2 linked regions of the Macaca fascicularis genome follow. Each later gene encodes a partner of the first gene's protein in a complex. Links are inferred from orthologs where the notes say so. Each region holds a gene or a part of one and is shown on either strand. Other genes may lie near its edges.

Region 1 (3,777 bases):
AATGCCAGATTGAAGTCCCTGAAGAGCTTCAGTTTTAGCGGCTAATAGTCAGTGTTGCAGACAGCCCTGCCCAGGCAAGCCCTACCCAAGAACGGAGGGCCAGGCAGGGCTGACTCAATCGGGTAACTGTTGGCTGCAGTCATGATTCATCCTCTAGCCAAGAGAACAGTTTTAATCACAACATTTCCCCCTTTACTTTGTCTTATTTTAGAGCCAGTGTGCAGCTCCTTCAAAACAGAGTTCCTTGCTGTGGCCCTGGTCAGTGCCCTTTGGGGCACTGGTTACTGAGGAGACAAAGGCTTCCCCCCTAGTTTTCAATGCTATTTTCACCTCCTGGCTAGCCCCTGCTCTGCATCCTTATTGCAGAAGGTCTACTGGACACATAGGGAGTCAGCTGGCTGCAGTATTCATAACCCATCCACTGAATAAAACAGCTGGGGGAGGAGGGGAGGGGAGGACACAGTGGGAGAAGGATGTAACTTCAGAGAGGGAAGCTCCATCACTTCGTAATGGCTGTGGGCAAGAGAGACATGGGACTGAGTGACTTCAGACCTGAGCACTCACTTGCTCTCTTGAAGAAGATACTCAAGGGTGGCCAGGATTTCCTCGACTGACAACTTGTATTTCTTAGGAGCTCCTAAATTCGCCTTTTTAAAATTTAGAGGTCCTTACCCTGCTGCATTCCCTTTCTTAATTCTGCACTTTCCTTCTGCCCTGTCATCTGAAAAAGGTAAACTAGGTACCCCACCCAGTTCCAATTTCTGGGATCTTTGGGAATTGATCCTGAAGTGCTCTGCTGCTCTGAACTTGAGCACAGTTATTTTTAAACCTCTGTGGTGTCTGACTCCTTTCCTGAGTTATTTAAGAACTGGGGTGAGATCCCATGTCCTTCTCCCAGAGGTGACTCGCCCAGTTCAGTTCTCTTAAATTGCTGGACTTGGAGTACCAATCTAGGCAAGGCAGACTCTCTGTAAGCCCACTGCCATCTGAAGCCCATATGAGGGATGGGGGATGAGCCAGATCTGAGCTGTGTCAGAAGAGAAGGAAAAGGGTGTGGTTCCCCTGGAATTCATCTCACAGCAGACCCTGAAGCATTAATTTGCAGCTCTCTCCAAGATAACTAACTACCTTTCAGATGACTCATGCCAGATTTTGATTTATAGCATTCTTTGGCCTGCTGGTTCCCATACTTTTCTGGAGATTAATGGGTAGAATTTACAATTCTTAAGTGTTAATTGCTCAATCCTCATGTTTACCAACTCCACCTTCTCCTCTGTAAAAGAAAGCATTTGAGAATCAGTGTTGAATAGGCATCTCTCAGAGACAGGAACCAGACCAAATTATGTCTCAGGTTCCTGTTAGAGTTCTTCAGCAGAGGAATTTGCCAGCCCTTCAATCTAAACTCAAAGCGTATTCTTGTGATTTATTTATTTTTATTTTTTAGTGCTATATTACAGTCTCCATTTGTGTTCACCTGTTTCCTATCCAGTAGTGATTTTAGATGATATTAGCCAAAGCTTATCTGTTCTGGCCAAATGATTCCTTCCAATTAAGCCAAAATTCACTGAGGTTCTATTAAGTACCACATACTGGGTCTTGATGAGACATATACCCCTAGTTCATTATGCCTGAATGTAATGATCTGACATGTTTCCTTTCCTTTCTTATAAATGCTTCATGATGAAAGCTCTTGCTCTCCCAGTGTACCCCAGACTGTGAGAGCAGCGCATCTGTCTAGTGTCACTAAAAACATAGAAGACCCTCAAATGAGTTAGGTTATAGTATTACTTGTTGCTTCTCAAGTGAAGTAGACAATGGACTTTGAGTAGTTTTTTTATTTGGGTAGATCAACTGCATTTTACTGCCAGAGATGCAGCTGTCTTTATTGCAATAAATAACAAGTTCAGAACTTTAGTAAAGAATACATATATACCCAGCAGATAAATTCATTTGTAAGCAGATTTCTAAACCCTAGAATCAGACTGAACCAAGTTACCACGTTAAGCTTAGAAGGTTGAAGTTTTCATATTCACCAGGCTTGACTGTGTGTATTGTTAGTATCAGCCATATCTAAGAATCCCATTTACTAGTGCCAAGAGAAATTATGAACTATCTGTTCTTTCAGTAGGTGCTTTGTCAGTAAAAAGAGGAACACTGGGCTGGGCGCAATGGCTTACGCCTGTAATCCCAGCACTTTGGGAGGCTGAGGTGGGCAGATCACCTGAGGTCAGAGTTTGAGACCAGCCTGCCCAACATGGCAAAACCCCATCTCTACTAAAAATACAAAAAATTAGCCAGGCGTAGTGGCGGGCGCCTGTAATCCCAGCTGAGAGATTACAGGAGATTACGGGAGGCTGAGGCAGAAGAATCGCTTGAACCTGGGAGGCGGAGGTTGCAGTGAGCCGAGATCACACCACTGCACTCCAGCCTGGGCAACAAGAGCGAAACTCCATCTCAAAAAAAAAAAAAAAAAAGAGGAACACTGATCTTGCTTTTCTAAATGATTAGAGTTTCTGTTCTTTATTAGGTTATTTATGCAAATTAGCTGGAGTTAGATAAACCCCTTTATTTACAGCACCAGTACCTGAGGTGTCTATTTCTACCAACAAGAGACCCAGACTAGGGTGGTCTGGCTCTTAGATTCATTCACTGAATTTTAAAGCTGGAGAGGATCAGATGAATGATCTCATCTCCATCATTCCAATTATCCTAAAAAGGTTGGCAATACATATGGCTTAAAAGTTAATGTAAACCCACCTAGATGAACCTGGAGGACATTATGCTTAGTGAAATAAGCCAAGCACAGAAAGACAGTTACCAGATGATCTCACTCATGTGGAATCTTAAACACTGAATTTCATAGAACTGAAGAATAGAATGGGCTGGGGTGATTGCACTGGAGTGATGTTGAGGCAATGTTAGTCAAAAGATACAAAATTTCAGTTAGGAGGAATAAGTTTAAGAGATCTACTGTACAACAATGTGACTGTAGTTAATAACAATGTATTGTATTCTTGACAAATAGTTAAGAGTGGCTAAGTGTTCTCACCACAAAAGTGCTAACTATGTGAGGTAATGCATATGTTAATTAGCTAGATTCAGTCATCCCACAATGTATATATACCTCAAAACATCATGTTGTACACGTTAAATACATACAATATTATCTTTCAATTTAAAAAAAAATAAATTCATTCATAAAGTCTGCCAAAAGAAGTTAATGTAGACCCTGTTTCTTTACATCCTTTAATAGGCTTCAACAGACCACACCAAAATGCCGTCTCAAATGGAGCATGCCATGGAAACCATGATGTTTACATTTCACAAATTCGCGGGGGATAAAGGCTACTTAACAAAGGAGGACCTGAGAGTACTCATGGAAAAGGAGTTTCCTGGATTTTTGGAAGTAAGTGTTGAAAGGCTTACAAAGAACCAGACATAAAAGTCAGTGCTTCTAGGCCTTGGTTCCTTTTCCTTCTTGTTTCCATCCCTTCCCTGTGGAGGTCACCACTAGTGAATGAATGAATGTAGTCACCTGAAGGAAGGAAGGAATGAATGAGGTCATTCATTCATTTATTAAATAATATTGAGTACCTGCTATTTGTAAGATACTGTTGAGGAAATAGAAAGTAATGAAGACACGGCGCCAGCCTTCAAGGAGCTTACAGTCTGCAGGTGAAATAAGACTACATACAAATAACTACGATGTGAGCTGTTTGTTGGAAAATCCCATCTGGTTATCTGTGTCTGTTGTGATGATGTTGGGGACAGAGTTGG
Region 2 (4,359 bases), on another chromosome or scaffold:
TGAAATCCCAGCACTTTTGAGAGGCCGAGGCGGGCAGATCACCTGAGGTCAGGAGTTCAAGACAGCCTGGACAACATGGTGAAATCCCATCTCTACTAAAAACACAAAAATTAGCTGGGCGTGGTGGCGGGCGCTTGTAATCTCGGCTGCTCGAGAGGCTGAGGCAGGAGAATCGCTTGAACCCGGGAGGTGGAGGCTGCAGTGAGCCAAGATCGCACCATTGCACTCCCGCCTGGGGGACAGAGCGAGACTCCGTCTCAATAAAAAAGAGAAAAAACAGAAAAAGAAAAAAGAAAAGAAAAGCTGACCACCTAGTATTATTGTGTTGACGGGCGTGTAATGTGGACCTCTCTGTGACGGGCAAGTATTCTCTGGCAGTTACACGGCACCGCCTGTGCAGATCGGCGCCATCACCGGCTTCCCGCCCTGTGCGATTAAAAGGCCACCTTCGGGGACAGCAGCCTCCTCTCCATCCCCAACGCGCAGGGACCAGCCCTGATAGGCGTGGGCTGCAGCTGGTCCAAGGCTGACGGTCCCAGGGCTGCATTCTCCTTCCAGTCACCTCAGACTCTGGAAAGCGAGCCGTGGAGGGCCTCAGAGCGCCCCTCTGCAGTTCCTTGGGGAAAACAAGGGTCTCCCCAGCTGGGCTGGAGCAGCCACGTGCCCACTGGGAAAAGGGTCCTGTCCACCATTTCCGGCAAACGCCCCCATAGCTGTGATAAACATGTGATGGCTTTCCTGTACCAAGAAAGGAAAATTTTCCTTAAAAATAACGAAAAGAGGTGGGGAGGGGACTCTAAGTTCCATTTAAGATTTTCCAAACTCGTTGTGTCTCATCCATACGCTGAGGCTTAGCATGAAAATTTGGAGCGAAAGTCCCCAGGGTTCACCACAGGGAATGAAACAAAGTATCTCGCCGGTAGCTCCAGGTCTCGTAAACCGTGGAGCTCCTTCAGTATAACGCCCTATTACGTGCCACATTAGATGAGGAGGAAATAAGAGGAAGGATACGGTAGAGGCTTTAGAATGGGGTTGAGTCTTAGGACTTGTGGGGTAAAGGAAAGTCGTTTCCCTCCGTTTAAGGCAGGGAATCAAACAAAACGCCGGCACCGCAGGCACCGCAGTCGCACTCCTGGGGCCTCGTGGCTTTCCCGCGCGCCCGCCTTGGGGGCGGGGAAGAACCCGGATGGAACCACCCTTGCAGCCGGGACCCCCCGCAGTCTTTGAATGGCAGCGGGGCGGAGTTGCCCTCCCTTCTGTGCTCTGATTGGTTTGGCTCCGCACTCTTCTCTTCGTGATTGGGCTTTCCTAGTGCCAGTCACAGAGCGACGCTGGTCTCCCAGATTGTTGCTAGAAGGAGACAGCGTCGACGTCTGACTAGACTCGCAGCGACTTATCTTTCAGTCGTACGCTCCTTATCCGGCGCTCGGAATTTGTTCCCGGCTTCAGGGCTGCGGGACCTGGAACGAGGCGTATCGAGGCGGCTCGAGAACGATCCAGGGGAGCCGAGGCGCTCCTCTTGTCATCCCACTCAGCGCCATGTCCTGGATGTTCAAGAGGTGAAGGGGGCGGAGGGGGTGGGGCGCTGGGGCTAAGGGCCTGGAGGCGTCCCCAAATGAACCTGACCTTCCCCGCGTTCCTCCACGTTCCCCGGGCGATTTGTGCAGCTGTATTCGTTCTGTTGGTCGCATATGTGGCCGCGGGAGAAATAAATGCATTGTCTTGGCTGGCGAGTAGGGGCTATTAGGGCGAGTCTCGTGTTAGGGACTTGGGAAATCTCTGTCACCGACTGTGGGGGGCCTGGGGCTTAAAGCCTCTCGGCCCATGCGTTATTCAACAAAACATCCATTAGATACCCACTGTGCGGCAGGCATTATGCTCGGTGGAGGGCCGAGTAAGCCAGCCGTTGTCCCCAAGTGGCTCACAGCTTATGTGTATGCACAGACGTGCAGATACGTATTTGCAGAGGAGCTAATAGAGAGAATGCGCCACTTGCAAGGAAAACGCAGCGCAAATAAGCGACTGTTCTTAGGAGAATGGAAACTTTCTGCAATGCTCCAGTAGACTTCCCCTCACTTTTCATTGTCCAAATTGGTTTTTATGGTCATTCCCGAAACAGTTACACGTAACGGGTTTGGGGTAATGCTTAAACCAGCGACGGGAGGCGGGTACGGGTGGCTTGGGGCCAATTTCCCACGGTGGCGTGGCTTAGATACCAGAATAAAGTAAGTGTTCTGCTCGGAGGGAGTTACAGTGATGGATGCTGGATGTATTTTCTGGAAAATTATAAACAACTTCGTATACAATAGTAGTTGTATTTTTGTAAGTCTTTTGTAGCTGAATCCCTATTGAAATTTTGGCATATAATTTTATTTTTTTAATAATTTATATTTTTGAGATGGAGTCTCGCTCTCTCGTCCAGGCTGGAGTGCAGTGGCACAATCTTGGCTCACTGCACCCTCCGCCTCCCGGGTTCAAGAGATTCTCCAGCCTCCCGAGTAGCTGGGATTACAGATGTGCGCCACCACGCCCGGCTAATTTTTGTATTTGTAGTAGAGACAGGGTTTCACCATGTTGGCCAGGTTGGTCTCAAATTCCTGACCTCAGGTGATCCACCTGCCTCTGCCTCCCACAGTGCTGGGATTCCAGGCGTGAGCTACCACATCTGGCCCATAATTGTATTTACAGACATCATATACATTTCAGTTTAGATGATTTTCACTAGGAAAGATATTAGTGAGCTCTGACTAGGCTTTTCATTTTGAATTCCTAGGGGGCAGGTAGAAGAGCCAATATTGAAAACAGGTAAAGTTCCCGGGAAGCCTTCTCCACTCACTGCAATTCCTGCTTTAACGAGAGTAACTAACTATTAATCTTTACTGTGATTCCCATGTAAGATTTCATTTGCTGAAGTAAAGCATGAGAAAACCACTCATATGGTCTTTGGAAGTACTTAAATACTGTTTTTCTTTGCCTTTAAAAAAAAAATAGGGATCCTGTTTGGAAGTACTTGCAGATTGTGCAGTATGGAGTTCATGGAAATTTTCCACGCCTCTCATATCCAACTTTCTTTCCACGTTTTGAGTTCCAAGATGTTATCCCTCCAGATGACTTCCTAACTAGTGATGAAGAACTAGATTCCGTTTTATTTGGAAGTTTGAGAGGTCATGTGGTTGGACTACGCTATTACACGGGAGTAGTGAGTATAATAGTAGATAACTAAATTAAATTTTGATTATATTTGTGGCGTTAATCTAGAAAATAAGAGAATTAGCAGGTGATGTGTACGGTTCATCTTTATTTTACTTTAAGTTAATGAAATATTTGTACCCCAAAAATAAAAAATACCTCAAGTGACCCTCCCACCTCAGCCTCCCAGAGTGTTGGGATTACAGGAGTGAGCCACTATGCTTGGTCTCAGTGCGTTATGTTTAGTTATTATGGGTAACACCCCGCCCCCACACCCCAGTGCCTTGTTCATGTCATCGATTTGTTGCAAAAAGGAGGTAGTTTTGTGAAATCTTCTGGATTTTATTCTTTCATTTCTCCGTATGTTTCTTACTTTTAAGCTTCTTAAATCTTTTTTATTTTTGGGTGTCTGAAGCATGTTCAGCAGGAGATTCCTTGGGAGTTTCATGTTCTGGATTTGTTTTTCTCCTATATTTCCTTTACATTGGAACTTTACAAGTTGTTTTTTGATTGTCTGAAATGTGTTGTCTAGGAGATTCCTTAGGGAGAAACAGTATTTCCTAAGTTTTTGTCATAATTGTGGCATTTTATGAATGACAGTTTCATAAAATGAAAGTTGTGAAGGACTTAATGACAGTTGGGCTGAATTTAAAATCTTTGTAATATATAGTTTCTCTCCATATCCTAATGTTGTATAGAATTTTCAGGCCAGTGTGATTTTCTCTTTCACTTAAGAGAATTGGATTTTTTTTTTTTCCCTTTTTTTTTTGAGACCAAGTTTCGTTTTGTTGCCCAGGCTGGAGTGCAGTGGCCTGATCTGGCCTCACGGCAATCTCTGCCTCTCAGACTCAAGCAATTCTCCCACTTCAGCCTCCCGAGTAGCTGGGACTGCAGGTGTTTGCCACCATACCCAGCTAGTTTTTGTATTTTTTTTTGTATTTTTTTGTAGGTTTTGGTATGTTGTCCAGGCTGATCTGGAACTCCTGGGCTCAAGTGATCCGCCCACCTTGGCCTCCCCACGCGCTGAGATTCTGTGCCCAGCCTCTAGTTTTTTCTAATAGATTCTTGAAATCTATCAGTTCTTATTTCGTATCTATGTATTCTCTAGCTCTCATATGCATTTCTGAGCTTTTCTGTTTCAGATTTGTGCTAATTTTTCAAAACTTACAT

Evidence for each region.
Region 2: the proteins of S100A10 (region 1) and HLTF are in contact, whole or in part, in a crystal structure (PDB 4HRE), measured with the Homo sapiens proteins. The link is inferred for Macaca fascicularis from reciprocal best matches to the Homo sapiens genes S100A10 and HLTF. Residues at the interface, in NP_002957.1 of Homo sapiens: Phe42, Asp58, Leu59, Asp60, Gln61, Gln70, Ser74, Leu75, Ala77, Gly78, Leu79, Ile81, Ala82, Tyr86; in NP_001305864.1 of Homo sapiens: Thr32, Phe33, Phe34, Pro35, Phe37, Phe39.

What each region holds. Positions count from the first base shown.
Region 1 is NC_088375.1:109,196,873-109,200,649, forward strand, and holds part of S100A10 (protein S100-A10), read left to right. Parts: intron 1-3,253; coding exon 3,254-3,406; intron 3,407-3,777. UniProt on the Homo sapiens protein: Because S100A10 induces the dimerization of ANXA2/p36, it may function as a regulator of protein phosphorylation in that the ANXA2 monomer is the preferred target (in vitro) of tyrosine-specific kinase.
Region 2 is NC_088376.1:51,897,706-51,902,064, reverse strand, and holds the start of HLTF (helicase-like transcription factor), read left to right. Parts: upstream 1-1,341; 5' UTR 1,342-1,539; coding exon 1,540-1,559; intron 1,560-2,991; coding exon 2,992-3,199; intron 3,200-4,359. UniProt on the Homo sapiens protein: Has both helicase and E3 ubiquitin ligase activities. Possesses intrinsic ATP-dependent nucleosome-remodeling activity; This activity may be required for transcriptional activation or repression of specific target promoters.